Pelodiscus sinensis: one gene and its partners. The protein of the gene in region 4 binds, or shares a complex with, the protein of the main gene of each other region. Links are inferred from orthologs where the notes say so. Each region holds a gene or a part of one and is shown on either strand. Other genes may lie near its edges.

Evidence for each region.
Region 1: INTS9 (region 4) and INTS12 share a complex: the UniProt entries of both Homo sapiens proteins name them as parts of the integrator complex. The link is inferred for Pelodiscus sinensis from reciprocal best matches to the Homo sapiens genes INTS9 and INTS12.
Region 2: the proteins of INTS9 (region 4) and INTS11 are in contact, whole or in part, in a cryo-EM structure (PDB 8RC4), measured with the Homo sapiens proteins. The link is inferred for Pelodiscus sinensis from reciprocal best matches to the Homo sapiens genes INTS9 and INTS11. Residues at the interface, in NP_060720.2 of Homo sapiens: Glu127, Gly198, Tyr199, Ser200, Gln201, Lys202, Tyr231, Glu338, Phe339, Ile342, Phe343, Glu345, Gln352, Lys354, Val355, Tyr356, Leu357, Pro358, Glu359, Pro360, Pro361, Arg511, Arg512, Tyr513, Glu514, Lys515, Ile516, Glu517, Ile518, Met519; in NP_060341.2 of Homo sapiens: His94, Gln97, Ala98, His137, Leu138, His139, Gln140, Thr141, Lys274, His277, Tyr278, Lys280, Leu281, Phe282, Ile283, Pro284, Trp285, Arg291, Phe294, Ser449, Pro450, Ser451, Ile452, Pro453, Val454, Gly455, Ile456, Ser457, Leu458, Leu461.
Region 3: INTS9 (region 4) and INTS7 share a complex: the UniProt entries of both Homo sapiens proteins name them as parts of the integrator complex. The link is inferred for Pelodiscus sinensis from reciprocal best matches to the Homo sapiens genes INTS9 and INTS7.

Annotation. Positions count from the first base shown.
Region 1 is NC_134715.1:26,900,092-26,907,454, reverse strand, and holds the start of INTS12 (integrator complex subunit 12), read left to right. Parts: upstream 1-4,355; 5' UTR 4,356-4,488; intron 4,489-7,363. UniProt on the Homo sapiens protein: Component of the integrator complex, a multiprotein complex that terminates RNA polymerase II (Pol II) transcription in the promoter-proximal region of genes.
Region 2 is NC_134733.1:16,677,638-16,684,783, reverse strand, and holds the start of INTS11 (integrator complex subunit 11), read left to right. Parts: upstream 1-4,133; 5' UTR 4,134-4,270; intron 4,271-5,519; 5' UTR 5,520-5,667; coding exon 5,668-5,695; intron 5,696-7,032; coding exon 7,033-7,130; intron 7,131-7,146. Other genes in the region: CPTP (ceramide-1-phosphate transfer protein), read right to left, coding at 1,835-2,357, 3,812-3,933.
Region 3 is NC_134713.1:146,927,047-146,934,211, reverse strand, and holds the start of INTS7 (integrator complex subunit 7), read left to right. Parts: upstream 1-4,153; 5' UTR 4,154-4,196; coding exon 4,197-4,287; intron 4,288-7,165. Other genes in the region: DTL (denticleless protein homolog), read right to left, coding at 2,956-3,081, 3,677-3,722. UniProt on the Homo sapiens protein: Component of the integrator complex, a multiprotein complex that terminates RNA polymerase II (Pol II) transcription in the promoter-proximal region of genes.
Region 4 is NC_134713.1:4,736,354-4,744,315, reverse strand, and holds the start of INTS9 (integrator complex subunit 9), read right to left. Parts: upstream 3,008-7,962; 5' UTR 2,909-3,007; coding exon 2,858-2,908; intron 2,856-2,857; exon of another isoform or gene 2,833-2,855; intron 2,810-2,832; exon of another isoform or gene 2,785-2,809; intron 1-2,784. UniProt on the Homo sapiens protein: Component of the integrator complex, a multiprotein complex that terminates RNA polymerase II (Pol II) transcription in the promoter-proximal region of genes.

The DNA of each region.
Region 1 (7,363 bases), on a different chromosome or scaffold from region 4:
CATTTCTGGAAAATCATGCCAATCTAGACGCAGCTGTTATGTCTAGACTACATGCCTGTCGGCAGAGGCATGTAAAATAAGCTACCCGACACAGTCAATGAAGCGGGGAGTTAAATATCCCCAGCTTTATAAAAATGAAAATGGCCGCCGCACTGTGCCGGATTAGCTGATTGTCAGCACAGCGCAGCAGTCAAGATGCGGATCGGTCGACAGGGGAAACCTTTGTCAACCATTCCCTTATGCCTCATGAAACGAGGTTTACAGGAGCAGTTGACAAAGGCTTCCCGTCAACTGATCCATATCTTGACTGCCACGCTGTGCCGACGATATTAAAATCCCTACTTCACTGACTATGTCGGGTAGCCTATTCTATATGCCTCTGCTGACAGAGGCATGTAGTCTAGACATACCCACCCAGAGAGAGAAAATCTTTGGGACAGAGATTGCCACTTACTCTATTCTATAGATTGGACCTCTATAATCTAGATTTCCCTCATCCAACAACATTTGTGGTCAGGCATCCCTGTTGGTGTTCTCAGATTGTAACACTTATGGGGAAAAGCTGGGGGTCATGAGCTCAGCAGCTCTTCTCCCTCTCATTTGCAGCATTTAAGCTTAGGGAGGGAAGGACAAGGAGAAGAGGCAGGAGAGAGGAGGTACACGGGGGAAGAGGCAGGGTAGCTCTGGAGCTCTACAGCCAGGTCCAGGAATACAGCCCAATGGGAGGGAGAACCCCCACAGACACCAGTCTGACCTCCAGACTGCTAGCCACAGAATTTGATGTGCTCCCGGAGGGCTGCACTCCTGGCCCCTAGCCACAGAGCTCTGCAGCCACCTTGCCTCTTCGCACTTGTGCCCTGCCCCCCGTCATTCCTTGGTCAATGCCAGCCCCTCTGCTGCTGCCAGAGTGGGCCCACAGCCACTGGCAGCAGAGGGGCCAACTTAGCCTCACTTAGGGTCTGTAGCTAGTGCCTCTGCTGCAATACAATTAACAGCATCAGCTCTACTGCACATCTTAAAGAGCAGATAGGTAAATAAATGTGTTTGTTTACAATATGGAACTAAGGGTAGCTTAGCTGGTTAGAACTAAAAGAATGTTAAAAATCCAATTCATTTAAACTAATTGTGCTGTTTACTTCTTAAAATTTCTCCAACATGGGCTCAATATCAATTATGTCTGTTTCAGTATGCTACACATTTGGATTACACTACAGAGAACTTATTTGTTTAAAAACAAATGCTTCCAGAAAAATACAAACAAAAAATGAAAACATTTCTATTGTGCTTAGTTTCTGTAAAACAGTGTCACCAACTAGAAGATCAGATCTTGGAGCCTCTGACAGGTGATCTTGACTGGTTTGACCAAGAGGCTATCAAGTGCAGCACTTCAGCTGCCCCTCCCACCACTGCTGTGCATCTCCTGCCCTTTGCCTTGGAGCTGTTCCCCTCACCCACCCTGTATTCCAGTGGTCCCCAATGCGGTGCCCACGGAACAATCTGAGCCGGCCCTGCCTCCGGGCGCACGGCACATGCCAGGGCTGGCTCCTGGCGCATGGGTAGCCTCTGCCACAGACACATGGCACATGTGTGGTGCCGGCCCCAGGCGCCTGGTGCATGGGCAGCTCCTACCCCGGGTGAGTGGCACATGCTGGTGCTGGCCCCTGGTGCGCGGCACATACACAGCCCTGCCCCTTGTGCATGGAACGTGAGCGGCCCCGCCCCCGGACACGCAGCAGCCCCAAAATGTTGGGGACCACTGCTGTATTCTATCTTCACAGAACAGGGGTGGGGGCACAACAAGGTTTGGGATGGAGGAAGTTTGCTGGCTGCTTTGGAGAGTGGTGCAGGGACGGTGCAGGGGTGAGCCTGCCTTAGCCCCACTGCACCATTATCCAGGAGCCACCTGTGGTAAGCAGTGTCCAGCTGGAACCTGCATTCTGAATCCCTGTTCCAGTATTTTACCCTGTACTGTACCCCAAGTCCCTGCCCTAGCCCTGAGCATCCCCAGACCCAAATTCCCTTACAGACCCTTACCCTGAACCCCTTCCTGTACCCCAACCCCTGCCCCAGGATCAGAGCCCTTCTCACTCCAAATCCCTTAGCCCAAGACCAGCTGCCCCTGCCTGATGAAAAGGCGAAAGGATGGGGGAGGAAGGAAGGGTGAGGTGAGCAGGGGCAGGGCCACGAAGGAGGCGGGGCAAAGGTATTTAGGATTGCACTTAAATTCAAAAAGTGATCTCATACTTTAAAACAGTGGTCCCCAACCATTTGAGGTTGCCAGGCGCCAGGGGGCATGGTCGTTCACCCCAAGCGCCACGCGCCCCCCCCAAGCGCCGTGCGCCCAGGGCTGGCGCCCCCCCCAGCACTGCGCGCCCAGAGCACGGGCGGCCAATCCACAGCGCTCCCAGGGCCGGCGCTCACCATGCGCTCAGGGCCGGCTCCGGCACCATGCATGCGCCACGTGCCCAGGGCCAGGCCAGCCCCGAGCATTTGGCAGACGCACACAAATGCCCCCGCAGGCATCATGGCGCCCGCGGGCACCGTGTTGGGGACCACTGCTTTAAAAGGTTGGAGACTACTGCTGTAAAAGGTTTTGTTTGTTGTATTATAGAAAAATACAACTCTGGACATTTGACAATGTTTCTTTTCATGTAGCATGTGTTACTGCACGTTACTGATAAATGTAATGGTTATTCCAATAAATATGTAGCACAGCAAAAATAATAGCTGTGGTATTAAGGCATCAGATGCAGGATATCTAGTTTATATTCCATTTATGTCAGCTTGCTATCAAAAAGTTTCCATGTAAAATTTTCAGTGAACCCTCATTCAGAAAAAACTCACAGGAACGACCAACTAAATGGAAAATATTTTTTACATGAAGCGAGACTAAAAGTATTGGGGCTGTTTATTTTAGAAAGGAAACCAGATAGAGGTATACAGATTAAAGGTATAAAAAAGGTGCATTGAGAATCCATCCTAATCCTATTGATAAAAAGAAAACAAGCGAACAATGAAATAAACAGACTAAGTTGGCTACCCCTCTGAAGCTTTTGAAATAATCTGAAAACCAGCAATTTTAAAAGTACCCAAGGTATAACTAGTCAGATTCTTTGCTACTAGATACTATTGATACCAAGATCTTAGCAGGGATTTAAAAAAAATAACTGAATTTTTATAAGGATGAAAACATCCAGTTACATTAGAAAGTTCATAAGAAATAGATGCATCATGGCACAACCAGTATCTCATGGTGGTTTGGAGAACACCCATAGGCAGGATATTTATTCTGTTTTGGATTTATTGCCTTTTGCTCCAATGCATAGGGCCCTGGCCACTCTAAGAGACAGCAAACTGAACTAGAAAGCCACTGGTCTGATCCATTACGGCAGATGCCTATGTTCCCAAAGATCTTCCTTTTTTCCAAATGTAATTGCAAACAATTGTCATCTAAATGACACCCTTTTATTTGGTTCATAAACCAATTGTGATTTCCCTCTTTGTTCACTGCTAATAAGTCTGCACTGAATGCTATTTACGAACATGTCTGGATCACTTAACTATTATGGCAAGGAGCGTGTCCCTATCTTCTATATATCCTCCCCTTGTTTAATAGAAGGTAACTGACTACCCAGTAGTGGAGAGTCTCCATTATCTCCCATAATGGTGATCTGTGTTGCAGTGCTTAAGATCAGGGATTAAAACTCTGCTGAAATACCTTGATGGGGGCTGTTACATTCACAGCATGGACAAAGGTCTCTGCTTTGCAGAGTGGGGGGCTGTGGTATTAGCTGTGTAATACAGAGGGTGCCCGTCATTCTCCCACAAAGTGGAGGATAGCTCCCCACACCTACACTAGCAAAACCCATGGGAAAGTAAATGAGAAATTGAGGGGGGAATGCCTCAGGGGCCTGAGGTGAGTGACTCCCCCCCCCCCAATAACAGAGAGCTCAGGAACTGTCCCTCACAAAGGTCTTTACCCCACATCCAACGCACCTGCCCTGCTGCCCCTGTGCCCAAGGGGTACACCCCACATCCTCAGCACCTGCCCCACGCTTCAGCCCCTCTGACCTAAGCTTGCACCTCATAACCTCAGCACCTGCCCCACGCTGCGGTCTCTGTGCCCCGGAGATCACCTCGCGGCCTCCGCAGCTGCCAGTTCCTGGGGTGCCCCGAGTTCACCCCGCTTCCCCAGCAGCTGCCTCATCGCGGGGGCCCTGTGCCCAGCCACCGCGCATCCCCAGCGCCCGCCCGTCCCCGAGTCTCGGGGAGGCTTCGCCCCGCTCCAGGCCCCGGCATCCCCGGGCCCGGCTCCGCGGCCCTACAGGCCCCCCACGCCGCTTACCCCCGCCTCAGCTCCGCCGCTTCCTCCCCGGCTCCGCCTCTTCCTCCGCACGCTGCCGCCGCGGCGCCTCCGGGGCTTCCTGCGGCTCGGCCGGGCTCTGCGCCGCAGCGTCACCCGCCGGGCGCCCGGGCCAACGGCGAGGGGTAAGGAGCGCGCGGGCGGGCTGGGCCTAGGGCTGCGCGGACAGGGCCGGGGCTGCAGCCGCGTCCCCCCCGCCCGTGAGCCCCCCGGGCTCCCCACCCTGCCCGGCCTCAGCGGGGCCACGCGAGGCCGGCGCCGGCCGCGGGGGCTGGGCGCGCTGCTTGCCCGGGCCCCGCTGGGGAGCGCAGTGTCGCGCTGTTGCAACGCGGGGGTCTGATCACTGGGCGAGCATCTCCCTCTCCTCTGCTTGCTGTGCTGTCAGTCTCCTAGGAAACCACTGATCTTACTAGTTACAGTGGGGGAGGCCGAGGGTGGATATTTGGAAAAACTATTTCCCTAGGAGGGTGGTGAAGCACTGGAATGGGTTCCCTAGGGAGGTGGTGGAATCTCCATCCCCAGAGGCTTTTAAGTCCTAGCTGGACAGATCCCTGGCTGGGTTGATTTAGTTGAGGTTGGTCCTGCTTTGGACCTGGGGCTGGACTTGATGCCCTCCTGAGGTCTCTCCCAGCCCTAGGATTCCATGATTCTAATATCTCCTTGTGATGTGACACTTTCCCTGACCCCCGGTAACCACTCCTTGTGAATGGTCACTTTATTTTGCTTCAGTCTTCAGTGCGGTTCCCTTCCTCCCTCTTCCAGCCAATAATTCCTCTATTCTGCCAGGCAGATGTGTACACTTGTATTTTGCAGACAGTGTGGAGTTTAAGTCCTTATTGTAACTCATAATGGAAGGTTCTCATTAGTTGTGCTGTGGGTCTGTTGTTTTTGATGTGTGGTAGCATATCACCATGTGATAAGTGTTTTCTACAGAGAGAAAGCAGCACAGTTGCTCCCTTCAGGAGCTCACATCTAATCCAAAATGCAGGACAATGTAGCACTTTAAAGACTAACAAGATGGTTTATTAGATGATGAGCTTTCGTGGGCCAGACCCACTTCCTCAGATCAAATAGTGGAAGAAAGTAGTCACAACCATATATACCAAAGGATACAATTTAAAAAAATGAACAAATATGAAAAGGACAAATCACATTGCAGAACAGGAAGGGGATGCAGGGGGGGGGGGGGGAGGAAGGAAGGTAAGTGTCTGTGAATTGATGATATTAGAGGTAGGGAGAGTGGGATGTTTGTGAGTGATCACAAAGAGAAAACAGTTTCTTGCCATTTTAACCAAAAAGGACACTCTCTCAATGACTTAACCACCTGCATTCTGCTACAAAGACCTTTTACATCTGCACTTGAAAGGGAATCCTCTGAACTGTCATTCATGTTAAAATTCGACACTTTCCAACAAGGACTTAACAAACATTTGAACTATCTCACCCATTACCAAGATAGTTTCCCCAATTATCACCTCTAATACCATTAACTCACAAACATCCCACTCTCCCTACCTCTAATATCATCAATTCACAGACACTTACCTTCCTTCCTCCCCCCCCCCCCCCGCATCCCCCTCCTGTTCTGCAATGTGATTTGTCCTTTTCATATTTGTTCATTTTTTTTAATTGTATCCTTTGGTATATATGGTTGTGACTACTTTCTTCCACTATTTGATCTGAGGAAGTGGGTCTGGCCCACGAAAGCTCATCATCTAATAAACCATCTTGTTAGTCTTTAAAGTGCTACATTTTCCTGCATTTTGCTTCAACTACCCCAGACTAACACGGCTACATTTCTATCACACATCTAATCCAGACACAGTGGATTGAAGGGTTAGACCAACAAACATTTGGCTAGGAAATGAATACCTCTAACTTGAGTAAAATTTACTCCTCATATATAACAATCTGTGGTTTAAGATTATGATCACTTTTTGACATTTATATTTTGATTTTGTCTACAGTATTTAAATAATCCTCAAAACAAGGAATGAATAGACTTGAGATCACTGCTCCCTTCTTAAAGGAAATCTAATACAAACATGTGCTTTGCACTAGGGATGTGAACTAGTAGCCAACTAGTCGATAAACCTGGTCTTAATGGTTAATCTAGTTGACTATTAGTATTTCCACCACCTCCCTTTGCTGCCTCTGTCTCAGAGGTAGTAGCATAAGGCAATAGGCAGCTGGTCTATCGGGGGTAGCTGTTTTTTAAACTGGCTCCCCTGTTGTGCTTAAAAGAAGCACCCAGAATCTTTTTCAGGGGGATACGGCAACACGCCACATTTCTTGAACATACATAGATCAATCAATATTTATCATATGCATATGATACATTAAACTCATGCACTCTCACACAAGCACATTCCATTTTGTTGTTACCAAAAGTTGCTCCCCCTAACTGCACTGGCCAGGTGAGTTAGATGGAGGAGGGGTGGAGCTGGCCTTCTGTAGATCGATGCTCCCATGTTGACAAGATGAAAACCCAGGGTCCTCTCCAAGATGCCTCCTATTTATCCCTCTCATGCAGCCAATTAGTCATCATCTTGCCTTTCTTAATGCTGCTTCAAAGAGAGTTCTTCCAAGGGCGGGCAATGCTGCTTGACTCCCAAGGTAGCTGTCTGTCCAGTCTTCTTAATGAGCTCACTTTACAGGTATTGTCTTGGATCTGGCTCCCAGACCTTCTCCACCCTTGCAACTGCTGCTGGAGGTGCTCACCTTTAATTCTCCCTTCACACCTCATTCATTTCAACAGGACAATCAAGGAAAGGGGAGAGCTCAAAAGACATTTTTTTTTCTTACAAGGAAAGTTTCTCTTAATACAAAGTTATAGGAGAAGTGTTACAAAGATTCTGTACGAACACTTACAGATATATCTAAAAGGACAAGATCTTAATACAAAGTTATATGAGAATGATAATATTACAGGGATTTCTCCACACCCCTTGCAGACCAGCTCCCATCTGGCACTCCACGCTGCCTTCTGTGATAGAGAGG
Region 2 (7,146 bases), on a different chromosome or scaffold from region 4:
AAACTTAAGTTTAAAGGGGTTCTAAACTAAAATCTTAGCATAGAAGGAAAATGGATCATTTCTCAGAGCTATACTAGAGGTATAAATATTTTAATCACTGGGAGTAAACATCCCTCCTGGAATCAAATGGGAAAAAAACCTTCCTTTCCTGATTCTTGAATTAAGAAATATTCTATGTGCATGCTGCAGATGAGAGTTTAGAATCTGTTAAAATGTATTTAGTCTCATTTCTGCACTCTAGCTAAATGGTTAATTAAGCAACTACTCATTATTGGGTTCGATAGCCCCTGAATATACAAGATGGAAGCACACGTCTTCAAAGGCAAGCATTCCTGTACACCACTCTTTGGAGGCAAGTTATTAATGTAATTTTAAGGAAAGTAGTGTGGCTAGCTAACCCAAACCCATGAGGTAATATGGTTTTCCAGTACTGTAGCCTTATTGGCCATTTAAATGCTTCCTATTATCTACATTACTTTAAGTGTTAATAAAATGTACAGAGGCACAGTGTGAGGTGTAAATGTAGTCTTGAAATAGTTTTACAGCAGTAGTATTAGTGCCCTTTCTGAAATATTAATACATTTTTGTGAAAGATACATTTTAAAAATCTGATAAAGTACAATTAATTATTGTATAACCACATTGTGTACCTCTTCCTATGTATAAGCCTATATATACACACACACCATATATACTAAGAATTTTTGCTAAAACAATTGTACACAGACCACATGCATGAAGATTTACCCTCTTTTTAAAGCTTATGATTTGATTTGGACTGGAAGGCATTCAGCTTCAGCAAACACTATGCTTTTATGTATTGCACAGATTATAATTACCACACCCAGTCAGCAGAACTTGGGTTTGTCTAGGCTTTCAGCATTCCCTTTCTTTCCTGAAGGTCTACTCTATGGGTAGTCTCTGTAACAGTAGCCTCAAGATCCATAAGGATCTGAATTATTCTGTGATTCAGTACTGTGTTCTAAAGATTATTCCTCACCCCAAAAAGCATGATGCCAAATAGCAAAACTGTAGGGAAGAGGAAGAGAGTAATAAAGGGACTTCATGTCTCAAAATCTCTAAAGAAGGGGTGGGAAGGAACATATCCTAATACCACACCTCAACACTACTACATTTTTGGGAGGATAAGCGGGAAGCCTAAGTGTTGACCAGTTGCCATTAAAGTGGACTGAAATCAGTTGCTCTTTGTGAGAAAGCATCAGCTTTACACTGAGTATCAAAACCAAAATACCAGCCCCTATAATATACATTATCTTTTTAACCCCAACAGAGAACAAGTAACTGAAGTCAATGAGTGTCGTCTGTACACAGGCTCTACAATAGCACAGTGAGGGGTTCCAATCCTAGTTTATCTGAATTTTAGCAGTCTCACGTGAGTAGGACAAGGAGGGATTCCTCATTGCTTTTGTTTAAAGGCATTGGAGCTACAAAGATTAAGTAACCACTCATGGCAGGGTGCTCTGGCTTTCGCAAAGAAAAAAGATCTGATAGTTTTGCAAAAAGGAGGTCAGTGCAGAGAAGAGAAATAAGTCTCTTCAATTTAAACAAGCTAATATGGGCTTTGGAATGTTTAGTCCAAATTGCTAATAAACGAAGAGCCAAGAAGTAAGTTAGCTTTCTTTTAGAAGGCCAAAGAGTACCAATCAAATTAGTTATGATCTCTACTAGAGACATATTGGAGATGGCAGGGAAGAGGGAGTATCCAGGCCCTAGTGCAAATACACTTATTTACATGAGTGAACCCCTCCCCCAAATACAGTGAACTCTTCCAGTAGTTACAATATTGAAATACTCTACTCAAATATCCCCTATGCTAGGGGAGATCAAGCAGTTTGTGTTGAGCATAGAGCTCCTCCGTGATATCATAGACCTTGCAGATAAAGGGCAAAGCATCCCCCAGCATAGCCACAGCCTCATCAGCTGTGCCTACATTCATGTTTTCAAGGAATGTATTTCGAGTGGGTAAGACATAAAAAGCCACTGTGGCAGCCTTGCGAATAATCCAGGGATGATAGTTAGCCAAGGAAGCATTGTATGCCTCTGAGCAGATCACAGAGGTTTTGGAGTCCTCCTCGCCAGTCCTCAGTCCTTCCAAGAACATCTGTAGCCAACGAAGGGCTCGGTGGAGGCGCAAGAAGGTTCTGCAGCCTGAGTCAGGATGCTCAGATCGCTTTTTGAGATCAACAAGGCCATTAGCCAGCTCATACTCCACCATGGATTGAACAGTCAAGTACTTTTCTCGCTGGTCACTATTACGATAATTCTCTAGGATCTGTATTTTGGTCACTGCGTCTTTTGAAATGAAGGAAAAAACTGTGCCCAGGGTGTTCAGAAACCTAAATTTTAAACCAACAAACAAAAAACCCAAACAGTCATGTGTTAGGTAACAGAATAAGGGAGCTTGAGAAATGATACTGAAACAATGCCCCTAGTTAAGTGGTTAAGAGTTAGATCAGACTTTGTTATACCAAGTTATTGGACATACCAGAATTGGTGAACACATTTAATTTAAATCTAAGATGAAATATGTGTAATAAGGTAGTGGTGATGATTTTTATTATAATGTACTAAATATATAGAACAGGCCTCCAAATGAGCTAGCAGAGTCAGATGTTAGTTAAGAAGTGTTTGGTTTATATTACCATGTAGAATATATTAATAGTCACTTTGTTCCTACTAGCAGCTTAGACAGCCAAGCCATTCTACCAATGTGCAGAATACAAATGAGGAATCTGCTTAGGGCAGCCAGGAATTTAGGGCACCACTGGGGCTATGTCCACCACCTCTTCCTATCTCTATTCTGTGGCTCTGATTCTTCTGGAAAGGATCTGGTTAAGTGAAAACGCCTGCCAGACCTATTCGCAAAAACTGTAAAAGAGCCATTGAAGTGGTAATGAAGCCATTTTAAAGGCCATTTGCCAGCCTCAGGCATATACAATCATTTTCTGAATTTGTTTCAGAGAAAAGTGTGTGTGTGCGTGTGCATGCACACACAAAAAAAACCCTGTTAGTCTCTAGGTCTACATCTAGACTGCAAGCCTCTTTTGAAAGAGGCTTTTTCAAAATATATTTTCGAAAAAGCCTCTTTCGAAAAAGCGAGTCTAGACTGCAAGCAGTACTTTCGAAAAAGCAAGCCGCTTTTTCGAAAGAGAGCACCCAGGCAGTCTGGATGCTCTCTTTCGAAAAAGCCGTGTTTGCATTCAAGAATGCCTTTTTTCAAAAGAGCACTTTTGAAAAAAGGCGTTCTTCCTCGTGAAATAAGTACCACCACTGAAAGAAAAGCTGCGTTCTTTCGATTTAATTTCGAAAGAACGCAGCTGTAGTCTAGACGCAGGTGACGTTTTTTCGAAAAAAGGCTACTTTTTTCGAAAAAACCCTGCAGTCTAGACACAGCCTAGGGTGCTACAGAACTATTTTTAAAAATTTACTTTGAGAGTCAGCAGGACATTAGTTTAAAATATGAGTGTGTTGCTGAAGATTATAAAATCACAGTTAAAAAATGGTCATCGCTCCCCACCGGGGAGACATAAGGGCACTAGCTTAGCAGTATTGCACAGGGCCCAGTAAACCCTGAACACAGCCCTGCTAGACAAGCCCCACGCTGGCCACTCTGCGTTCCTTCCCAGGACTTCCGGGAAGGGCGCGGCTCGCGCCTGTCACGTGATCCGCGGGCGAGCCAATGGGCTCCCTCTGACACCGACCAACCCGGTCTCCTCCCCTTTCCCCACCAAGCCGGCTTTAAAAACAGGGGCGTGGCCAGCGCCAGTCAGCGTCCCCGCCCCCCTCTCACCTGATCAGGCCCTTCCAGCCCGCGAGGTACGGGTCCACGCGCACCTCCCGCTGCTCGCCAAGGCAGGCCGTGAACGCCACCAGCACTTCCCGCAGGCAGAACGCGTCCGCCCCGTCCGCCATGGTGAACCCGGTACCTCGCCGCCGACCCCCTCAGCCGCCTGCTTCCGCTTTCCCCGACTCCTGCACCGCCCCCAATGGGCGCACGCCCCTTCCGCCACCCCAGCCAATCACCGCCTTCCTCTCCTGGTTCCGCCTTGCTTTGGCCAATCGCACATCGCGGGAGGGTGGGTAGGAAGGACACGGCCGCTGGTCATTGACTTGGCGCGCGCTGGGAAGGCGAGAGACCGTGCGCCTGCGTCACGGGGAAGGCGAGCGGGTCCCGCCCCTTTCCAAGTCCTGGGGGCGGGGCGTTGCGCGGGCTGTCAGCGCAGTGCGTCCGGGGGAGCGCGGGCCTAGGGTAATGTGAGGCTGGGAACGAGCGGGGGAGGGGCCCTGGGCTGCGCGAGGGGGGCGGTTTGTGATGGGGGGGCGCCGGGCTGCGCGAGGGGGGTGGTATGTGGGGGGGCCCTGGGCTGCGCGAGGGGGGCGGTTTGTGATGGGGGGGGCGCCGGGCTGCGCGAGGGGGGTGGTATGTGGGGGGGCCCTGGGCTGCGCGAGGGGGGCGGTTTGTGATGGGGGGGCCCTGGGCTGCGCGAGGGGGGCGGTTTGTGGAGGGGGGGCCCTGGGCTGCGCGAGGGGGGCGGTTTGTGATGGGGGGGCCCTGGGCTGCGCGAGGGGGGCGGTTTGTGATGGGGGGGCGCCGGGCTGCGCGAGGGGGGCGGTTTGTGGAGGGGGGGCCCTGGGCTGCGCGAGGGGGGCGGTTTGTGGAGGGGGGGCCCTGGGCTGCGCGAGGGGGGCGGTTTGTGGGGGGGGGGGCGCCGGGCTGCGGGGAGGGCCTGGTGCCGGGCAGGGTCTCTTTCCTTGCAGTCAGTGCCGGCATACGCCCCTTTCGCTGGGCAGGCCTTAGAGCTTGGTGGGGGCTGGGTCTCTGCTTTCGGGGAACTTCCTATGAAGTCTTTGTGTTGTGAGACTGAATAAAAACAACACTCTTCGATGTTTCCCACAAAATAACTAAAAAAAACCCAAACCCCACTCTGGTTTCAGGTCAGCCGGAACATTTTGTTTTGTAATTTTCTGTTCTTGGCCTCTCTGAACGGTTTACAGTGTTTTAAATAAACATTTATTCTTGTTCCGAAAGAATTTTTAGGAACCACAATCTCACAACGTTGTATTCTGAAAATGGAAAGGGTTGTTGTATGTTGTTGTGACAGGGCATTTCAGTTTTTATCCAAACATTCATTTTTAATGTCAAAAAATTACAAATAAATCCGTTCATCTGAAGAAGTGGGCTGTGCCCACGAAAGCTCATGATCCCATCTACGTGTTTTGTTAGTCTATAAAGTGCTGCCAGACCATTTGTTGTTTTTTAATTTTTTTCCTAACGTTTTGATTTCAACTGAATCAACATTATTTTAGTCTCTGTGGTCCCATCAATCCTGGAGTAGGTGACTGTAAAACACTGTAATAATGCTGCCAAGGAAACCAGCTTATGTTTTGGTGGAACCTTAGCCTTAATTATACTGGAGACAGGCATGCAGTTTTAGATGATTCTTATAATGTGCAAGCTAGCTGACCCTTTTCTTTTCTGTATTCTTGCCTCACTCTAGGAAGCCATGGGTCCTCAGCTGAACTCTTCTGTGTGATATTAGTAAATAGATCAGCAGTTTGAAGACAGGCTGAATTTTCCTTTTTTCAGTTATGGCATCTCTGAAGTAGCCTGCTATACACGGTTCAAAAAGTTATTCTGTACTTAAAATGCCTGAAATAAAAGTCACCCCCTTGGGTAAGTTCAAACCACAAAATGGAGCTGAAATCGATAGAATAGTAGAAAATGTTTGGATGCTGTGATAGAGCCTTAAAGGAATTAAAATTAGTTAGAAATATTTCCAATACAGATAGTAAGAGATTCAAGCTTCGTTCTATGTTTTAGCATAGAAGAGCTCATTACAGTCTCATACTTGCACTTACATGTTACTATGTTACGTTGGTGTAATTAGTATGCTGCATTCAGATTTGTTTTTTCTTTAGGTGATCTTAATCTTGCTTTGCAAACATGAAGACACAAACATGTTGCTAACCTTGCTTTTGGATGGTGAAAGGAATAATTAATTTTTATAAGCTGCTTTGTAGATTAAGAGCTAGACGAGTGCAAAATATTATTTCCTGTTTTGAATTTGGCAGACACTATTTTCTGCCAACCCCAAAAATGTTTCTTTCTACTGAAGTTGGAATGTGCTATGAACCTCTTGTTTTCTAGCTTCTGCATACATATTAGCACAGTGTGTGCAAAGTATTAATTCTTTAACAATGCCGTAGATTCAGTGGGGGACTTTGTCCTATGGAGCACACAAATTCAATCATGGTTGCTGTTATTTTATAGGGCTGTGGCTCTGTGTGTAGTCTGTATACAGAGGATGATTCTGAAAGATGGTAGCAGTTTTAGTGAGAAACTGTTTGACATCTCCTTACATATATCAGTAGAAATGCTTTTTGTTATGTGTCTTCTGGTCTGAAACTGACAAGCCAGGAGCTAAACGGATAGATGCGCTTTCACAAAATGGTGAGACACTATGGCATAGAGGAGTGACTATAGGAGATGGAAATCCAGGTTTCTAATCCATCTCTGTCAATTATTTACTGTGTGCCACTGGGCAAGTCATTTCCCTGTCTGAGCCTGGGTTTTCCCACCTTTGTAAATGAGGATAATGATACCAAGGATCTGAATGGGTAACCGGTTAATCTTACTGGGTGATGCTTACTGGGTACTGGTTAACTAGTATCCAGGAGCAGCCCCTGGCCTGCAGCCTGCCATGGGTGAAGGGCTGCCTCAGTGGGGCCAGAAGCCGCCTGCTGCCAGTGGTGGTAGCAGCAGCAGCCTTGGGCTTGGGGGCCTCATGCCACTGGTGGTGGCTTTAGCAGTCCTGAGGCTGGGACCTCGTTTAGCTGGTTAACTGATTAATCAGGATTTTACATTCCTAAATGATACTCGCCTTTTTAACAGGGGTATTGAGCTTCATCCTAGCTAGTGTTTTCCCAGAGCGTCAAATCTATAGATTCTTATAAAGGTTTAAGAGGTTATATGGACATGTGATGCAGCTGTCTTTGTTTCTTGTGCTCCAGGGGCTGGCCAGGATGTGGGCCGGAGTTGCATCCTTGTGTCTATTGCAGGGAAAAATGTCATGCTAGACTGCGGAATGCACATGGGCTACAATGATGATGTAAGTATGGCAGAAA
Region 3 (7,165 bases), about 140 Mb from region 4:
TTTAATTATCTTACCCATTACAAAGATAGCTTCCCCAAGTATCACCTCTAATATCATTAGCTCACAGACATTTACCTCCCCCCGATCCTCCTTCTGTTCTGAAATTTGATTTGTCCTTTTCATATGTGTTCATTTTTTTAATTGTACCCTTTGGTATAATTTGTGACAATTTTCTTCCACTATTTGATCTGAGGAAGTGAGTATGGCCCACGAAAGCTCATCATCTAATAAACCATCTTGTTAGTCTTTAAAGTACTACACAGTCCTGTTTTTTGTTTCAGCTACACCAGACTAACATGGCTACATTTCTATCACCTTGTTCACAGTGTTGAATAAATATAAAAAATTAACTATCCTCTACAGTTTGGTAATTCCTTTAGGCCAGGATTTAGGCATAGGGCTAGGGATGTAAGCGACTAATCGACGAGTCATTAGTTTATCCGACAGTCAACACACTAGTCAACTAGTCGCTTCCCCCCCTTGCTATCACAAAGAGGCAGTAAGGGGGTGGAAGAGGAGGGATGCTGGAGGGAACTGGCTTACAAGCTGGTTCACTCCATCTCCGTGGGAGGGGGCAGGGGCACAGTGGTGGCCAACTTTGAAATGTACAAGAGTCCCCGCTGGAACACAGAAGTTCTTATAGACTAATCAAATAGACAATGGAAATCCCATCGACTATTCAATTAGCTAATCAATTGAAATTTAACATCCCTACACAGGACAGGAGGGACAGTGTGGAAAATCTTGCACAGCTAATGCCAGTGATTTACCTCCAGATCAGGATTTCAATATCCAGGCCTGTCAATCAAGCCAGCAACTGTCACCCATGAAGAAAGTGATACACATGGGCTGCATCTAGACTGGCATGATTTTGCGGAAATACTTTTAATGGAAAAACTTTTCCGTTAAAAGTATTTCCGCAAAAGAGCGTCTAGATTGGCACGGATGCTTTTGCGCAAAAGCGTCTGTGCCCAGTATAGACGCGCTTTTGCGCAAGAAAGGTCAGATGGCCATTTTAGCCATCGGGCTTTCTTGCGCAAAAAATTAAGGTGCCTGTCTACACTGGCCCTCTTGTGCAAGTATTCTTGCGCAAGAGGGCTTATCCCTGAGCGGGAGCATCAAAGCATTTGCGCAAGAAGCACTGAATTCTTACATTAGAACGTCAGTGCTCTTGCGCAAATTCAAGCGGCCAGTGTTTTAGAAGCACATGGGTTTTAGAAGCACATCTTCCTTCTCATCCGTTTCCATTTACTACTCCTCACTCTATTCCTGATCCTAGTTACTTATGAACAAAGACCAACCTAAATTTGCAAACATCATAGGCCATGTCTCCACTTGCCATGCTGGAGATCGATCTTCTGGCATTAGTGTGTCTAGTAAGAACCCAATAAATCGAACACCAAGGGTGCCCGCCCAGTGGACACCAGGTCTTCTCGTAATTGCAAGGAGTAAGGGAAGCTGATGGGAGCTCTCATCAACCTCTCCCTGTGCAGATAGCACCAAGCTTGACTTTTTTCATTGAGTACCTTAAGCTGACCTTCTGGGTCTAGTACAGACCTAGTTTTAGTGCCACAACAAGACATACTTTGTCTCAAATAAGGCTGAAATCAAAAGTTGTGAAAGTGTGTACATTTATTTAAATGCTTTAATTGAACTCACTTTATTAAAATGCATAGCAATCCCATAATACTGCCAATGGTCCATCATGCTGCATAGTTCTATTTTATCAAATTAAATCATAGGCTGTGTCTACATTGGCACCCTTTTCCAGAAAAGGGATGCTAATGAGACACTTCGGAATTGCAAATGCAAATTTAAATATCCCCCATGGCATTTGCATGAACATGGCTGCCGCCAGGGGCAGATGAGAGTTCCGCGGGGCCCCGGGCAGCAAAATTTCGCGCCCCCCCCCTTTGACACAGCGCATGCGCCGTGGTGCCAAGGCGCATGCGTGGGGCCTCGGGAAACGCGGGGCCCAGGGCAGCCGCCCCGCTCGCCCTGCCCTAAATCCGCCTCTGGCTGCCACTTTTTTCCAGCTCGGGGCTTTGCTGGAGAAAAGCGCCAGTCTAGACGGGATCTTTCAGAAAATAAAGCCTTTTCCGGAAGATCCCTTATTCCTCTTAAAATCAGGAATAAGGGATCTTCCAGAAAAGGCTTTATTTTCCGCAAGATCCTGTCTAGACTGGCGCTTTTCTCCGGCAAAGCCCCGAGCTGGAAAAAAGCGGCAGCCATGTTCATGCAAATGCCGCAGGGGATATTTAAATCCCCCGCAGCATCTGCAATTCCAAAGTGTCTCATTAGCATCCCTTTTCCAGAAAAGGCTGCCAATGTAGACACAGCCATAGTGTTACCCAATTTACCTTAAAGAAATAATGGATTTTTGAATATAGCATCCATATCTGAAAAATGGCAAGGGACATTTTGACCTAAGAGCTTATTCTTAATAGTTGCTCTGGTAGATGTGTCATTAACTGTCTAGTCCAGAGCTACTCAACTTTGGAAGCCCCAAATATATGTAAATAGCTTTTCACACTGAGGGGCATGAATACAAAGATTAAGGCAAGATTACACAACACACAGGCCCCATTTAAGTTAGTTCTGCTGATATTAATAAAATGAAATACTTACCCAATTTCCACCCATATGACAGCACTTTTAATGAGCAATGTCAGTCCAGGAATTTAACTGCTAAAACACGTATCAACCGAAGACCATTATACATGGAGTACTTTTTTGTTTTGGCTCCCACCCGTGGGCCACAAACAGGCTACATGTTAAGTAGCCCTGGTCTAGTCTATTTTGTCACTGATATAAAGGGCTCTTTATGAAACTGAATATTCAAAATAAATGGCTACAATATCTTTCAGGGCGTAGCCGTATTAAAGTCTGTACATATTTATGTGCAGACAGCTTGGGCTCTAGCATAGCATTTTGATTTTAAAAAAGAACACTTACCTGTAGAAAAGGTGCAACCGAAAGGAGGAACTGGCATTCCCGTCTCTCCATAAGAAAAGTGGTCATCTAGCTGACTGCACTCATAGCAATCCAAGAGATGTTGCAGGGGATATTGCAAAGACAAACCTAAAAATATGTGTATTTTGTCATTTATCAGGCATTTTGAGTTGCTGCAATAAGACCTACTAACTTCTTCCAGTAAGAGGTCTTATCCAGGTTTTTGGACGTCGATGGGATTTTCCATTTCGTCATGGGGCCAAAGTACTAGTCATAGTTTGAACACTAAACAGAAGAATCTACATGTACCGGGCATTTGCTGTTCCATTAGCTACAACGATCTAGGGAGAAACGTCCCATGAGACGTGCCAGTCTACCCGATCCCCACACCATCGCGGACAGCTGCGAGCACCTCCCCCGGCTGGAGAGCCTCATCCGTGGGGTGATCTCTCAAAGAGAGGGGCGCCCCAGCGATGGGGCTGCCAAGCAAGGACGGAGAAGGCACCAGGGCCGCACTACAGCTACAGCCATGCGTCGGGGAAAGAACTGGCACCTGCCTGCCCTTCCCCTCTCCGGGGCCCCGGCACCCAGCCCCTCGCGCCGGGCCGAAGCCGAGCAGGCGATCCCAGGAGTTGCGGGCTCAGCACACCGCAGGCAGGGCTCCCGCGGTCGGCAGGGTCGGGCCAGGCGATCGCGGTCCCCGTTGGGGCGGCCCGATACTCACGCTGCGGCCCGTCCCGGGCTCGGTGGAGGAGCGAGCGGCAGAGCATGGCCAGTGACTCCCACAGCGACCGGGACACAAAACGGACAGAGGAGCGTCTACTCCCGCCACTCGCGCTACCCGCCAAACTCCACTCCCGCTTGCCATTGGACAGGACAACGTAGGCGGGGCAGGAGGCCACACCCACTACTTCCCACTGGGCAGGGGCTCCGGGGCGGGGCCCGAGGCCGCAGCCATTTCCCTCTCCCCTAGTCCCCACGCTAGGTGCTACAGACGCTGAGGTTAAGGTGGTAGGTTGAAGCGGATCACTGTACACGGGCAGCAGACCTGGGGGCGGGGAGTACGAGTCTAAATTGCAGCTCGTGAGGGCGCATGCGTCCCGGGACGTAGTGGCGGGAGCGGGAATAGGTCAGTGGTGCGGACAATCGCGCATGCGCAATTGCACTTGAGGCTGAGGCACGTAGGTAGCTGCGCAGTGGGTTTACAGGTCGTGCTGCGATCTAGTGCGGGAGCGGGTACCGCCATGGCCTCCGGCGCTAAGTCCTTCCTGGCAGATGCGGGCTACGGCGAGCAAGAGCTGGATGCTAACTCCGCCCTTATGGAGCTGGACAAAGGTAGGAGAGCGCAGGGCCTAGCCGTGGCTGGAGGCGCATGCGCGCGCTGGCAGCGGAATCTCCGTCTCAGTCGGTCTGGCGCGGTGCGCGCTAACGGCGGGGAGCCGGCCTGGAGACACCGCCCCGCCCAGGCCCAGACAGGCCCCAGCCCGCCCCTCGCCCTCTCCTGCCATCGGTGCCGCCCTAGCGTGCGGCGCGCCGGTTCTTGCCTCTGCCCTGTGTGCCCCCGCCCTCTGGGCAGCCGCAGGACTTCCGGCCCGCGTGGCTTTTCCTGCCTCCCCCCTGCCCTGCCCGCCCAGCGCCTGCTTGCTGCCCTCTGCGCTCACAGAGTCCCAGCGCTGAAAGAGACCTCGGGTCATCTAGTCCAGCCCCCTGCCCAAAGCAGGACCAATCCCAACTAAATCATCCCAGCCAGGGCATTGTCAAGCTGAGACTTAAAAACCTCTAGGGATGGAGATTCCACCCCCTCCCTAGGGAACCCATCCCAGGGCTTCACTGCCCTCCTAGTGAAATAGTTTTTCCTAATACCCAACCTAGACCTCACCCACTGTAACTTGAGACCATTGTGCCTTTTTCTCATCCACTGCAATCCCCGGGTCTTTTTCTGCCAAATTGCTGCTTAGGCAGTCTGTCCCCAGCCTCCCAGGGGCAAGGCACCTGTCAGACCACATCCTGAATTTGGTTTAGTGACAGCCAAGTCCATGGAGATGTGTCTTGTGATGCCTCTTGGCTACTGTGAAAGTTCATTGCATAGATTTATAGACATTGCAGAGACTGGGAAATCTCTTTCCTGCACAGAGCTTTACTCTGATTGTGCCAGAAAAGAGAAGTTGTTAACCATAGTCTTCATTCTAAAGCTTTGGTTGGTCGATCAGCACAGATTCCACTGTAGTGATTTAGTTAAGATGATCTAAATTGAGGGGGTGACCTAAGAGGCAGTAGCTACTCACATACTCTGCCTATAGTGGTGCTGAGGTTGCTACAAATATGATGCACAGAGGTTCATCCCCCTGAGTGACATAGATGTATCAAAGTAATTCTGTAGTGGAGACCTGCCCTTAAATATTTTTGGATCTAGATCTGGAATAATCGATTACTTTTCATAAAGGTCCAAATGTCCTGATCAAAACATAGCCACTGTCCAGATTCCAGAGAAATTGATACAAACAATAACAAGTAAATGAGATTTTGTGGTCCATTCAAAAGTGTCTGCTGGTGTGGATTTGATACACAATGAGGCTACATCTACACTGGCATGATTTTCTAGAAATGCTTTTAACGGAAAAGTTTTCCGTTAAAAGCATTTTCGGAAAAGTGCATCTAGATTGGCAGGATGCTTTTCCGCAAAAGCACTTTTTGCGGAAAAGCATCCATGGCCAATCTAGACGCGCTTTTCTGCAAAAAAACCCCGATCGCCATTTTCGAGATCGGGGCTTTTTTGCGGAAAAGAAATCTCTGCTGTCTACACTGGCCCTTTTGCGCAAAAGTCTTTCAGAAAAAGACTTTTGCCCAAATGGGAGCAGCATAGTATTTCCGCAGAAGCACTGACAATCTTACATGAGATTGTCAGTGTTCTTGCGGAAAAGCGTCCGTGCCAATCTAGATGTGCTTTTGCGCAAAAAAGCCCCGCTTGCCATTTTTGTGATCGAGGCTCTTTTGCGCAAAACAAATCTGAGCTGTCTACACTGGCCCCTTTGCGCAAAAGGACTTTTGCCTGATCGGGGCTTTTTTGCGCAATAGCGTGTCTAGATTGGCATAGACGCTTTTCCACAAAAAGTACTTTTCCGCAAAAAGTTTTCCGTTAAAAGCATTTGTGGAAAATCATGCCAGTCTAGATGTAGCCAATCTACCTATTGACTATGGGTGTAAAGGCAAGCATGCCAGTAAGGCAGTGCTTACCGGGTAACTAGTTAACAGGTTCCTGGCATGGCTGGGCCAGTTAATTGTTCAACATTTTAAATGGGATTTTACATCCCTACTATTGTTTATCTTTGGTATACAGTCAGATCACTAGAACAGTGTAGGGAGTGGAGGATAAGTCTGATGTTGGTTGCCATAAACACAGCGCTGAGGAAACGCTAGTCAGTATTCTGTACCGATTGGGGTTTCCTAAGGTTTCATATCCATCTGTGTTGCATTGCTGTAGTCCAACTAAGAGGTGATAACTTAGGCCAGGTTACCCTAAACTGTGTCACATCCTGGCAAAGGTATGTCTACACTTGTACCCTTTTTTTGAGAGAGGGATGCAAATGAAGACATTGGAAATTGCAAATGAAGCTGGGATTTAAACATCCATGCTTCATTTGCATATTTGTGTTATGGTGCTATTTCAAAATAGCGCTATTTCGAAATAACAGATGCTGTTAAGATAGTTATTTTGAGAGAAAACCCATCTTAACAGCATCTGTTATTTCGAAATAGCGCTATTTCAAAAGAGCGCCATAACGCGAATGTGCAAATGAGATATTTAAATCCCAGCTTCATTGGCAATTTCAAACGTCTTCATTTGCATTCCTCTCTCGAAAGAGGGTGCAAGTGTAGACATACCCTGAGGCTACGTCTACGCTTCAGGCTTTTTGCGCAAAAAGTTGCAGAGTGTCTGTCTACACTGCACTCATGTTCTTGTGCAAGTAAATTTACAGTATGGTGTCGGAAAACCGGGCTTCTTCCAAAAGAGCTATTCCTCTCTCCACAAGGAATAAGGCCTCTTGTGCAAGAGCTCTTCCACAAGAAGGCAGTGTAGACAGGCAACATGAATTTCTTGTGCAAGAAATCCCTATGGCTAAAATGGCCATCAGAGCTTTCTTATGCAAGAGAGTGTCCACACTGCCATGGAGACACTTGCACAAAAGCATCTCTTTCGCAAAAGCACGTGGCA
Region 4 (7,962 bases):
TCCTTGATTTCTCTTGACTACATGGAATTCCCCCCCTTTTTTTCTTTTATGACTTAACTCAGTGTCCTGTATGATGTTAAAATAATGTAAGTTGTAGTATATTAACCTTTTCAATTTATTTCAACAAGATCATAAATTATTATTGCTTAAAGCTCATTAAAAACAGACCAGCAACATATCCCAAATATTGTGTTCTTGGGCTTGTCCAACTGGAAGGTCCAGTTTGCTATTTATTTTTTCTTCAGTTCTCTAAAAATGCAATTACACCCATCCAAAGCTCTTGGTATCTGTCCCATTAATTAAAGATCATAACACATGAACCACAGTTTGTCCACAAATATATCCACCTATGACCTCTTCAACAACCTTAGAGAAGAGAGAAAGAGAAAGGCTTTGAAAAGTATGTGGAAAATTAACACATCTGGGATTTGGCAGATCAAAGCAAGCAGCAAGCTCCAAATCAACAGACTCCTCACAGAGAATGCTCCACCATTTTATTTATGTTGAGTATGAGTGACTCTGCTGACTTGACATGTGGCAGTTTGGCAAGGGAGAGAGACAATCGTGCAGGGAACAAGGCCTCAAGCCATTCAGAGACTTATAGATTAAAATCCAACACTTCAAGTTTTATCCATAAACCAGTGCAGATTGTGCACCAGTGCTCTAAAGTTATGGATCTAAGCTAGTTATAGGCAGTATATATACAATGGAGTTTGCTGTTGGATTTGCCTTTATAATGGTCAGCAGCAGCAGCAAGAGCCTGAATAAAAGCCCATCAAAATCAGAGGTCATCATTCCATTGTCTTCACTGGGCTTTTGAGCAGGTGTCCATTGCTTAGGACTGGTGTGGATTTATTTTTGTCTTGTTCTTCCATATTTAAAACAAATACATGAGGGTCCAGGATGAAATTGCCAAAAAACCTGAATATCCCTTGTGACCTAAGACAAAAACCCAAGAAAAAAGAGCTACATAAGGACAGACAGGGTCAGGCCAAAGGTCCATCTATCCCAGTATCCTGTCTTCTGACAGTGGCCAATGCCAGGTGCCCCAGAGGGAATGGACAGAACAAGTAATAATCAAGGTATCTATACCCTGTTGTTCATTCCCATTTTCCAACAGAGGTTAGGGACACCATTCCTGCTCATCCTGACTAATAACCACTGATGGACCTGTCCTCCACGAATTAATCTAGCTCTTTTTTGAACTCTGTTATGGTCCTCCTCCGGCAAAGAGTTCCACAGGTTGACTGCGCATTGTGTGAAGAAATATTTCCTTTTTATTTGCTTTAAACCTGCTGCCTATTAACTTCATTTGGTCATGCCTAGCTCTTGTGTTATGAAGAGTAAATAGCACTTTCTTATTCGCTTTCTCCATATAAGTCATGATTTTATAGACCTGAATCATATAAACACTTTGTCAAAGGGTGTTGTGAAGGCTATTAGCCAGGATGAGGTCCCTAGCAACTGTTTGTCATAAGCCCCATGGGCAACTGGGAATGGATAACTTGGTTATTCCCTGTTCGGTTCATTTCCTCTATGGTGTCTAGCATTGGCCACTGTCGGAAGACAGGCTACTGTGCTAGATGGAGCTTTGGTCTAGTCTAATATCTGTTTTTATGTAAAAGTCTGCAGGTTTGGTACCTTCATCTACCTCTCCATAAATTCATTTTACAGTGATAAATTAAGCCACAGTGAAGGTAAGTGATTTTCTCCTAGTCACAAAACAAGCCAGAGATGGAGTCAGAACCCACAGGAGTTGCACCCCACAAGTCTGTGTCGTATTATAATACACACTTTGCCTGTGGGAAACTACGGTCATCTGAAGAAGTGGGTTGTGCCCACGAAAGCTCATGATACCATCTACATGTTTTCTTAGTCTATGGCTACATCTAGACTGGCATGATTTTCCACAAATGCTTTTAACGGAAAAGTTTTTCCGTGAAAAGCATTTACGGAAAAGAGCGTCTAGATTGGCACGGACGCTTTTGTGCCAAAGCACTTTTTGCGGAAAAGCATCCATGCCAATCTAGACGCGGTTTCGTGCAAGAAAGCCCCGATCGCCATTTTCGCCATCGGGGCTTTTTTGCACAAAACGATTCTCAGTTGTCTACACTGGCCCTCTTGCACAAAAGCATTTGCGCAAGAGGGTTTTTTCCCCGAATGGGAGCAGCATTGTATTTGCGCAAGAACTCTGACGATCATACCTTAGATCGTCAGTTTTCTTGCGCAAATTCAAGTGGCCAGTGTAGACAGCTGGCAAGTTTTTCCACAAAAGCAATTGCTTTTGCGGAAAAACTTGCCAGTCTAGACGTAGCCTATATGTTTTTCTATATGTTTTGTTAGTCTATAAAGTGCTACCAAACCATTTGTTGTTTTTAAGTTGATCCTGTACAGACGAACTTGGCGACCCCCCTAAGCTTCTGTTTTTCAAAGTAAGCCAAAGTCATCCACCTGTAAAGACTGTATCGCTCCAAGTTAAAAAAAACCCTCAGAATCTGGGTTCACCCATCCTGGGAGTGGCTTAGGGTCTCCAACTTTCAGACGAGGAGCAGCAGCATCTGATGATTTTCAGTGTGGGCCCCCCGACACACACACCCACCCCCCACCTACCCACACACCCACCCCCCTCCTACCTACACACACCCCCTACACACCCCCCCTACCCACACACCCACCCCCCTCCTACCTACACACACCCCCTACACACCCCCCCTACCCACACACACACCCCCACCCTCCCTACCTACACCCCCACCCCCCCCTACCTACACACACCCTACCTACCTCTCGGCAACACCCCCCCTCAAAAGCGTCCCCTTCTCTACCACCAACCCCTTCCTGCCCCTCAGCTTCTCACGTGGAGCCTCGCCGCGCCCGGGCCAGGGGCTGCTCCAGCCCCGCCCACCATGGTCAGGGGGCGCGCCGGCCCGGCCAGAGGAGCCCCGCCCGCAGGAGGACGGTTAACCGGTTAACCGTCGCATCTGAACGGTTGACGTTTGAAACGGGGCTCTACCTCCCGGAGCGCGTGGCCGGCTCCTTGACCCCCGCGCGGCAGGGCCTGGCCCAGTGGGCCCCAAGCCCCCGTCACAGTTGGGGCCTTTGGAGCCTCGCCTCACATACAGAGCACGACGCGCCGCCCCGGGGCCTGCCCCCGCTAAGTGCCTCAGTTTCCCCAGCGGTGGGGGGAGGGCGACCCCACGCTCCACCAAGGCTGAGCCCCCCCTCAAGCTCAGTAGACTCTCTAGGGCCTACTGCGTAGCCATGGCAACCAGGCCTGGCCTGAAGCCCAGAGGCAGGACCCGCCCCCATGCCCGGGACGGGAGCGAGGGGGGACCCTTCAGCCCAGCCCCCCCAAACAGACACTAGCTCCACAGACTCACCAGCTTCATGCTTTACCCGGCCGGCGCTATTTACTGTGACCATCCGCCCCTTTTCCTGCCCAGCCTCCCCCGCGCAGAGCATCATGGGACTCGTAGTCCTCTTGCCGCCGCCCGCCCCTGCCCAGGATGAAGTCATGCCCTGCCACCCCTTCCCCAGGTGCATCCTGGGAGTTGTAGTCCCTTCCTCTCCCCAGCCCCTCTCTCCGTCGGCGCGCCGTTCCGGAAGGGCACGCTGGGAGTTGTAGTCCTCCTGCCTCGGCTCTCCCCTTCACCCAGGGGAGGGGGGAACTACAAGTCCCAGGGCTGCGCAGCGGCGGCAGGTGGGAGCTCGGATGTTGATATCAACATGGCGCTTGCCAGACAGACAAAGACAGTCAGTCTGGTGTGATTGAGCCAAAAAAAAAAAAAAAAAAAAAAAAAAGGAGCAGGGGGGAGGGGGGATTTTCTCTTGGGGGGGGGCCGGAGAGGGGGGATTGGACGCGGAAGGATTTTCACCCCCATTGCTCCCCTCCCTCTGCACCCCCGTTATTGCCCCCCTCACACTGGGGCTGGGGATCCCCCACTTGCGCTCTTCCATGGTGAGGTGGAGAAGGGACCAGCGTCCAGAGGTGAGTGTTGCTGGGCGTGGGGGACCGAGCTGCTTTGGGAGGGGCATGGGAAGGGTCCCCTGAGCTTGAGCTGGGCCTGGCTGGGGGAGTTTAACCCTGGGATGGGGGGGAGCTTCCTTGAGCCCCTGGAGCACAGGCTGCGTGAGGCGGATTTGGGGGTGGCAGGTCCCCTTGCCCTGTGCTGGGTTTGGCGTTGGTGGAGGGGGAGATCCCCTTAGCCTGTGCACATTTTGCTGGGAGAGTTCAGTAGAAGGGATCTGGGTGGCTCCTTGTATCCTTGAAGTGGGGGCAGGGAGGTGTCTCCTAGGCAGGCTTGTTTTTTTGTTGTTTTTTTTTTTTGCTGGGGGAGTTCAACACTGTGGTTCGGTGGCCGTTTTCTTGCTTTCTTTGAAATACAGGCTGCGAGTGAGGTTGATTTTTTGGGGCGAGGAGGGGTAGATGGGTGGGAAAGGGACAGAATCCTTTTAGGTTGGGTTTTGCTGAGGAGTGTACTGCTGGGATGGAAAAGGCTGGTGGCTCCATGTGCGCTAGAAGCACACGATTGTGGGAGAGCAATGGTGTGTTTGGGAAGTGGGACTTGCACCAGGTTAGACTTGCTTCTGGTGGACTTTTTAGGGTTGGTCCTGCTTTGGGCAGGGGACTGGAATTGATGACCTCCTTAGGACTCTTCCAGCCCTGTGAGTCTATGATGGGTGGTGTCTGAAATTTGTGTGACTATGCACATTGCCTGAAATAGGGGACAGGTAAAGGGAAAGAGGACAGGGACAGATTCTGTTGCTGCTTGCAGGGTGTGTTGGGCTATTCTGCAGGCTGTTGTAGTTTTGCAGGGAGTTGAACACAGGACTAGGTGGGTGGGGTGAATTAGGAAAGAAGGAAGGCACCTTGCCCACTGTTGGGACATTATGGTGATGAGTGCACTATTAATACCTAGATTCTATTCTTGAGACACACAATGTGTGTGGCATGACTGACTTAAGGTGAAAGAAGAGGAGGTTGGTGTTTTTCGCGGAGGAATTTTATACTGGCCTATGAGGAGGACAGGGAGGGTACCTTTGAAACAAATAATATGCCTATGAAAGAACTTGGGAGAGGGAGGGTCCTTGTTAAGAGAAGAGACACTGTGTTGGTAGGGTCGGATGAGTGTGGGTGGATGTAGGGGGATGGCACAGTGCTTTTGTGGTTGTATGTCCAAGACACTAGTGATAGCTTACTACCAAAACAAATCTGCTTGATACAGAAGCAAGAGCATGCATCATGAGGAAGAGATAGGTGAGAATCCTAAGGGGATGTTGTAGCTGATGTGTTCAACACTGGAGGGCGGGGTGGGGGGGGATGGAGTGGACATAAGAGGGTGGCTCCTTGAATGTACGGGAGATGAGCATGGATGAGGTTTTTATTTTGGTTTTACTTTTAAAATGAGGCTCAGGTTTTGAGGTGGGGGGAAGGTGTTAAAATAATATTTATATTTTGTATCTGAGACATTGCTTTGAATGCCCGGAAAGTGCCTAAAAAGATGATGGCTGGAGAAGGTGGCAGAGAATTCTGTTAGGCTGTTACATTCTGTTTTTATTTTTTGCTTTGCTGTGGAGTTAAAAAATGAGCAGGATGGGTTTTTTTGAGGTGTAAGTATACATACAGCAAGGTGAACTGAGTTGGGCTCTTGCACCTCAGTTTTGGGTGGTGAGTTTTGGTGTATAGGAAGGAGTGGTTAAAAGTGCCTCTAAATGTGTCTGCAGGGTATTTTCTTTGGAAACAATTTTTGCATTAGCCCTGAAAAATCTTTTGATCATATGTTTATTTCCCCCTCCCCCTTCAAATAGGGGAAGGAAAGAGTGCCTTTTGGGGTTGGAGGGGAAGAGGAAGTATGAAACATATTCCCACTTCCCTGTCTGTGAAGTCCTATCGACTCAGTTTATTCTGGAGCTCAAGTAACACTGGCAACACAGAGAGAAGTGTCTTCAAGTGCTGAATGCATGTGGACTGAAAGTGGAGGATGTTAAATGTAATGGCCCAGGACATTGAGTTGGGAAAAGTAAGTCTGTTAGGTACTGGCTGTGTGCTCTTGGCTCAATAATCAGAGGGACTAGATAGATTGAACTCATAAAGGAGATGCAATTTGCATGAATGATGCCACCCGAAATAAAGTTGTGTTGTATAAACGGCTTGTGCTAGGCAGTCAGCTCATCTTGCTAAAATCCCGGAGCGCCTGTCTGGATCCCGTGATACCACTAGCTCATTTCTGCAGGGCTCATCAGGTGCAGAAGCCTCTCTGCTTCCTTCCTAGGATGGTGCAGCTGGCATCTGATTTCCTCTATGGATGGGAGAGGAGGAGTCCTGTGCGATTGTTTTTTTCCTTTGAGATGATTGCATTTTCCTTGGCCTCACTGTTCCCTGCCTCATTAGTAGAAACTGCATCTATATTTGTTTACCGCAGGCATGCCAATGGGGATGCCTGGAGTAGCGGATAGTGGGTCTATGTGAATTCATCACAATAACATGTTTATTTTTTCCCCTTCCATTGTTGTACAATTATCTTAGGGGACAGTTCTGCAACAGCAGGCTGTAAACTTCATTTGTTTGAGGTTTTTTGACCCTCCTTTGCTGCATTTCTGAGCTAAATCTTTAAGGAAATGATTGGGGACAGGCAGCACATTACATACACATGATTGGAACTTCTTTAGCTTCAGACAGACTTTGTCTTTGGTTATGAAAATTATTTGCCATCTCTCTGTTCTAGGAGTTCTGGAATCTCTGAGGTGGCAGGTTTATACTCCATCTGTCTATAAATTGATGTGCTGCTTGCATTTGGAAACACTGGACATTTTCTCTTATGCAAAGATTCTTCATCTTTAACTCCATATGACATGCACAGACATTTTGTAGGGTTGACACAATTGTTTAGTGGGTAGGGATGTAAAACCTGGTTAATCAGTTAACTGCTTAAACACTAGGTTTAAAAGGTTAACTGATTAAGCACAGGATCCCAGTGGGGGACCGCTCCAGCCTGCCCCCACAACTGCTGCTGCTTGCTCTTGGCCCCCTTTCCCACACAGAGGTACCTACAGGTGGGGGGAGGCTGCTCCCAGATACTGGGTAACTGGTTACCCATTCACATCCCTAGTAGTGGGCAGAGTACAGGACTAAGAACAAGGAATTTGTTTCATCCTGCCAGGCTGGCACCAAATAGGCATCAACATTTTTACTATTATGTCACTTAATGGAGAGCAGAGCAGGTCTGCACAGCTGTAGTGCGTAGCCCACTAGCTGTTTTATAGTAGTGTTACCATGGATGAAACTGCACAGTTTTCAGAAGAACCGTGGGAGGATTTTACAAAAATCCTATATAGACGAAGTTGTCCATCTCTCCCAAAACTGACCAAGTAAATGGCTACGTCTGTTGGATATTTTTAAAGCATCTATCGCTATACAATCTATTATAATTTTGTTAGCTAGGGATGAAATCTCATTGGCTCAGCACTACGAAGAGCATGAGTAACCAGTTGCTGCCTCCACCATGTTATCCCTTGTCTCAATTTCCCTATGTGTAAAATAGGAATGCTTACTAGCTTCCTTCAGAGTTGGGTTATGAGTAAATGTCCGGTGCTTTGAAAGTGGAGTTAGCGTTTTATGAAGTTTTATTTTGTAGAGCTGAGAAGTGACAAAACCATACAATTATGGAGGAACTTGGAGATTCTCTGTCTTCAAATAAGGAACAAGAGAAATGCCAGGGCTTTGTTTTTTCTTTACCCTGAATAAATGCAAAGGTCTGTACTAAAATGTATTTGCTCCATGCCTAATTGTTTGAGGCAGATCTGCTTCCATTGAAGTCCATGGGAGTTGGGCCCTCAGTACGTGATCCCTAGGTAGGGAGAAGGACTCCAGACAGGCAAAAAAATGAATGAATTGTTCAGATACAAGAATTAGTTTAACTTATAACATATTACCTCTCTTTCATAAACAAGTATTTCTGATGA